2 linked regions of the Xenopus tropicalis genome follow. The protein of the gene in region 1 interacts with the protein of each later gene in a pairwise test. Links are inferred from orthologs where the notes say so. Each region holds a gene or a part of one and is shown on either strand. Other genes may lie near its edges.

What was found.
Region 2: the proteins of rcc1l (region 1) and nme6 interact in binary tests that used the Homo sapiens proteins (3 or more experiments, as listed by UniProt). The link is inferred for Xenopus tropicalis from reciprocal best matches to the Homo sapiens genes RCC1L and NME6.

Annotation. Positions count from the first base shown.
Region 1 is NC_030678.2:101,938,548-101,942,206, forward strand, and holds part of rcc1l (RCC1-like G exchanging factor-like protein), read right to left. Parts: coding exon 3,637-3,659; intron 2,516-3,636; coding exon 2,464-2,515; intron 1,470-2,463; coding exon 1,385-1,469; intron 49-1,384; coding exon 1-48. UniProt on the Homo sapiens protein: Guanine nucleotide exchange factor (GEF) for mitochondrial dynamin-related GTPase OPA1. Activates OPA1, by exchanging bound GDP for free GTP, and drives OPA1 and MFN1-dependent mitochondrial fusion. Plays an essential role in mitochondrial ribosome biogenesis.
Region 2 is NC_030679.2:89,495,772-89,498,537, forward strand, and holds the end of nme6 (nucleoside diphosphate kinase 6), read right to left. Parts: intron 969-2,766; coding exon 820-968; 3' UTR 548-819; downstream 1-547. UniProt on the Homo sapiens protein: Major role in the synthesis of nucleoside triphosphates other than ATP. The ATP gamma phosphate is transferred to the NDP beta phosphate via a ping-pong mechanism, using a phosphorylated active-site intermediate. Inhibitor of p53-induced apoptosis.

The DNA of each region.
Region 1 (3,659 bases):
CACCGCCCAGCTTTGTTGGATTGCTACACACATTAAAATGACCAAGTCCTGCAAGAAACAGTCAGGCAGCTGGCTAGCTATAATTCCAAATCAGTGTATTTCAGCTTACTTTTTACAACAAAATGGTGAGAGTCTGCTTAACTCACACAAGGACACACAAATCCCAAGAAACTAGGGATGGAAATGAAAAATATCCCAGGCCATCAGCACCTTATAACCACTGACTATTATGAAGATAATTCTTGTAATGTTCCTTTACAAACAATATAACATGTTAAGAAAAGGTCAGTCATACCCATATTATATGTTCTTTGAGAAACCTCTGTGTTCACATGTCTATGAAGATTTTTATTCATCCAGGTCATGGTATATCTAGTATAAATAAATTTAAAGCAACTGGACTTGTTTGGTAATCATTGAAGAATCATTGGTAATCCTATCAAAGTAACTCCACAGCATTCACACCTCTGTGAGTTTCAGATGTCACCTTTCTGAAGAGTTACAAAGTGCCATTGTGATTGGATTAGTGGGAGATTAGTGCTGAGGACTTCCCATACCAGTCAGTTGAACTGAAGAAGCTGCTCGGATGAGTAGTGAAACGTCTTCAATGTTTACCAAACAAGTCCAGTTGCTTTAAATGTATTTATACTAGATACTTTGGGGCACATTTACTAATCCACGAACGTCCGAAAAGCGTCCAAATGTGTTTTTTCCGTAATGATCGGTATTTTGCAACTTTTTCGCGAATTGTCGCAAATTTTTTGAGCGCTCAATACGAAAAAGTCGCGACAATTCGCGAAAGTCGTAATGGCTATGAAAAAGTCGCAACAATTCACGAAAGTCATAATGGCTATGAAAAAGTCGCGACAATTCACGAAAGTCATAATGGCTATGAAAAAGTCGCGACAATTCACGAAAGTCATAATGGCTATGAAAAAGTCGCGACAATTCACGAAAGTCATAATGGCTATGAAAAAGTCGCGACAATTCACGAAATTTGCAGTGGCTATGAAAAAGTCGCGACAATTTGCGCAAGTCGTAACGGTTACGAAAAAAGTCGCAACAATTTGCGCAAGTCGTAACGGTTACAAAAAAGTACGAAAAAGTTGCAAAATGTTCGTTTTCCAATCCGAATTTTTCTCATTCGGATTCGTGGATTAGTAAATGTTTGTGTTCACAGTTTGGCACATCCCATAAAATGGTGCCTTATGGATACCAGTGATTACTTCTTTTTTTTTTTTAATTCAGGCAAGTTTATTACCAATGATTACTTCTAGTAATTATATGTAAATGACGAGACACATTGTAAGAACTCTAAAAAGACATTTCTGTGTAATTTTATTTAAATTAAATAGCTGAATCTTGATAGGGGTGTCAGACTGACCTGTTTGCCCATCCGCTCCCCATCCACAAGAGTACACTTCTCCTTTCTCTGTCCTGAACAAACTGTGGTCTTGACCACATGCAACCTGAATGAGACAAAAACCCAAACCACATGAGTTAAGATATAGAAAGCAATGACATACATTTTTTAAGATAACCATCCTGTATGAACATATTTTGGCTTATCTACTTGACAAAAACTTTTGGTCATGATTGGTCTTCACTCAGACACTGATCAAACCAGTTAAAAAATGTCATTGGATAAGAACCTCATCGGGCTGGGGATCCTGTCTGAATAGCTTCCCCATGTAATCTGGTCACTGTCCAGGGGCCCAAAGGATAATAAAAATCCAACCTTGTTTACCACTTTGGTGTTCAAATCAGGCAAAGGTCATTTGGCAACTACACCAAAAAAAAAATGGATGAGATTCAATTTGAGATGCAATTCAATTCAGAAAAACGTATCTCTCTGTTTATCACATGAAAACTCTATTGAAGTCTATGGGAAGAAAGTGGAGTTGAATTAGAAGAAAAGTTTTTCTCCTTGAACTGAATTTGTCTATGAGTTTTCACATGAAAAACCATGAAATAACTTTTTCTCACTGAACTGAATATGAATTGGCCCTATGTTTGGGGATTCTGCAACTGCAGCATTTAAGCAGTGAAGATGCCCCCAGCAGCTCCACAGCTGTCAGTTACTGAGCTTAGGGAACAACTCACAATATACTGTATATAAAGAATATAAATGTCACATGTGATACAAGGCAGATTAGTAATTATTTTACACAATGTGCAATTTGCATTAGGGATGAAGGATTCGGATAGAAGTTGTTGCTCTGTTGAGTATTAATACCCAATGATAAATGCAGAACCTATTCTGATTAAATTAACACCTTTATCAGTTTTAGAAATGTTCCTGACATTTAGGACAGTTTGATAGATGGGAAAAAAATCACATTTGTTCTTAAATCTGTCCCTGCATCTTGCATATAGAAACATTTATTAATTATAAGACTAGCACTAGACAGATAACACAACCACTTGTGTTTTTAATGTCCTAGTTTTTGATGATACTGGTACCTGAACCACTCTGCTATCCAGCTCTCGGACCCTGTGAATCAGCTGGCTTTCACTAGCAAAGAAAAAAAGAGCAGAACATTAGAGCAGTACAAAGAATGGTAACAATAAGCTAAACTAACCCCATTACAGCCATTTCAGTATGTACAGACCTAAAAAAAACAAGAACAATAATAATAAGAAGTATTTGGATAAAAGTAGCATTGTTTTAGAAACAAAACATTTTAATTTACTGGTAAAAAAAAAGTTGTTGTTTTCTGCTGGAATGGAAGAGTTCAATTTTTTAGTACTTATGTGACTTAGTCTGTGTCTCAAAACACACTACACTACTGCTAGAAGACTTAATAATTACAGAAAAAGCATTAAGGAGGCTTAATGGAGTAAAAAAAGGATTCAAATATAAAGAAATATATATATTAAATATATATCTGATTCTTTTAACTGGAAATAAAATTAAAAAAAAGCCTTACATTTAAAAACGTAAATGCCATGAGACAACAATTCTTTACAATTCCATTTAATTTGAACTTACACTTGCCTGTGGTAGGGCAATTACTCATGACATATTTTGATCTCCACTACTCTGAGAGGATATCAGCCTTATTACATCTTCACATTGTGAACCACATGGGCAACAAAATCCCTCATCTTGGCACTCTGGTATAGCTAGTTCCAGTTAGGAACTAGCAAAAGTAATGCCAGGTTCAGGCTCTAAGGTCCGTGACAGACGGGGTGATTAGTCGCCCACGACAAATCTCCCTTGATGCAGGCGACTAATCTCCCCGATATGCCATTCCACCGACAGGCAGATGAAGCGAGACCCACACTGCATCGACAACTAAATGCCATCCCACCAGTGGGCAGATGAAGCGAGACCCACACTGCATCGAAAACTAAATGCAATAATCAAATTGCAGTCGAGTGTACATATTTGGTGGCTAGTATTAGACATCTGGACATCAGATGCATGAGAACCTAAGCACTATATGAAAGTCCAACATATGGCCTTGCCCGTAGGGTAAGTCATGAAGATCACTGCAGAGGAATCATCACTGTATAACAGAATCTAAATATGATTACATTTTTATATGAATGATATAACCAATGACCCCTGTAAAATTACTATATTTCCTCATTTTAGCAAATTTGCAGAAAGGACTAAAAATACAAACTTACCTATATATTTCTCCTTCAATAAC
Region 2 (2,766 bases), on another chromosome or scaffold:
ATCCCATAGGTGTACGTGGTGCCACTTTATCGATCCTTCGCCTCCTTTAAATTGACACAGAGGAACCCTTGAACTACAGTCACCTTTGAAAGATGTGGTAACTCCAGGGTTCCTACAGCAGCTTGCATTAATAAACCGAGCACACTTGCATCTAAAAAATCAGGTGCAGACTTCATTTTGATGCTAAGTGCCGGAAGTGATGAATTGAGAAGATTTTCAGTGCAACTGTGTAAAAGTGCAAATACAATTTTGCATGTTTTAACATACTGGCTGCAATTGCATTGGGTGGCAACCTTGTGAGCACTATTATGCTGGAATCATGGGAAACAGACTGCATCGTGGGTAACACTTTGTGCCCTGCACACATTTTGGATCCAAAATGAGCCCTGTAATGTGTTATACTGAACAGTACAAGGTTAGCCAAAATTTTCAGTAGTTACCTTTAAAATAGATAAGGCAGCGATGCCCAACAAGGATCTTGGAGGCCACATGCGACCCTTCTGTGCTCAGCTTGTCAGCTTCACATTAACGTTGCCAAAAGAAAACGTTAGTATATTTATTTTATTAAAATGTTTTGTATTGAGCTAAAACAGAGTAGTCAGCGCCACACTGAGCTGAGAGAATGACGTCAAACTTAAAATCTTCCATAACAATAATATAGTGCCCATTGTCCCTTGCTGCAGCAAAAATGTGTACAGCAGTAACCACTTCCTAATTTTGTCTGGTGTAGATACACAGCCTTCTTCATGTTAAAACCCATAGTCTTTTATGTGACATGAAGCTGCAGACATAAACACACAGTTTGCCTTTTAGGTCCCTTCACTCCCCTTCAAGTCGGTGTTCTGACCGTTCTTCATCATAGAACACTGGCCCTGTTCTGTAGCGAGGTTCTTGCTTCTCATACCAATCGCTAGTGTTGAACTCAGGGAAAAAAAATGTGATTTCACGGCAAGCTGATTCAACAGAATCTAAATAAAAAGAACATTTTTTTTTAACAAAATACTTTTTATTGGTTTTGACACTAAAAAACATATCCTAACACAAATTAGTACATAAAATTCAAGGGTTTACAAATAAATGGGATGGCAGGCACCTCTGTCTATGAACATTCCCAATTACCTTTCAATGTTTTCTCAGCCTAAAACTGGGTCTATTTCCCTTTTGTACATGGTTCCCAGACTTTCTGATATTTACCTTACCCACCCCCCCACCTAATCTCGTAAGTCAGTTTGTATAGAGCAGGGGTACCCAACCTTTCCTACTTGTGAGCCACAGTCAAATGTAAAAAGACTTGGATAGCAACACAAGCATCATAAGGCTAATGTCAGATGTGGCATTTGGTGTATATTTTCGGCAAGCAGAAAATCTCTTGCCGAAAATATCGCCATAAGCCTCCTACCCGAATGAATGACATACGCTCGGGTGCAGGCACATATAGCTGATATCCGCCAAAGATATGAAGTCTTGCGTTTTTTTGGCGGAGATCGGCTACATGTGCCTGTACCCGAGCGTATCTCATTCATTCGGGTGCAGGCACAGGTAGGAGGCGTTTGGCACTATTTTTGGCAAGCGATTTTTGGCTTGCTGAAAATATACGCCAAACGCCACATCTGGCATTAGCCTAAAAGTTAATGGAGGTGCCAAATAAGGGCTAAGATTGCCTATTAGGTAGCCTCTATGCACACTATCAGCTTACAGGAGGCTTTATTTGGTAGTAAATCTTGTTTTTATTCAACCAAAACTTGGCAGGTCAGGAATTAAAAAAAAACTGCCTGGTTTGGGGGCACTGAGAGCAACATCCAAGGGGTTGGTGAGCAACATGTTGCCCCCGAGCTACTGGTTGGGGATCACTAGTATAGAGGTAGCATTGTATTTACCAACCACTTCCATTTTTTAACTGTCCCATTCCCAAGTTACTCTAGGACCTCTAGTAGAATTTTCTTAATGTTGGTAGCATGCCTAGTTTTTCTGTCAGGTATTTTAGGACCATTTACCAGTCTTTATTAATCCTGGGATAGTCTCACCACGTGGGCAGGAGATTGGCTGCATGTAACATGAATTATTTTCTTTGTGGCTGATGAAATGTAGTTTTTTGGCATAATGTACACTCTTGGGCTTAATTACCAATTTTCGAGATTGAATGTTTGCTTATTTATTAATATGAAAAACTTGCTTAAATAAAAAAAACTTGAATACCATCAATTTGTGAATTTACAAACTCGAAAAAACTCGAAAATCTCAAATTGAAAATATGGCTTGACTTTGCCTAGGACAACTCAGCCATGGACTTCTATAGAAACTCGCAAGCTTTTAGATGCCGAAGTTTTACATTTGATATTTAGGGTTTTTGCACTAATAAATGTCAGACATTTTAGTTTTTAAACCATAATTCAAATATTGTGAGTTTTTTTTAAAGTATTTGTTTATTTGTTTTAGAACAGACAAAACAAGAAACATTTACTAACAATCATATTCTGAACAGCATATAGAGAAATATATCGAATTATGGTAAAAATTTGAATTCAATGTTAAGCCACCCTCCCCCCTGTAGGAATTCACACTGAATGAGTTTGTCCCTACCTGACACTAGATAGGCATATGGGCCATTACTGACTTCTTTTTAGTCTTCTGCCATTAGATTTGGGATATCTTTATGGTACTTCTCAATCTTGGGAGCGCTTGAGTGATTTATATACCTAGACACTATTTTGGTGGGGGAGGGGATCCATAACTAGTCCTCTACTGTGTTTGGTCTGGGGCACAGAT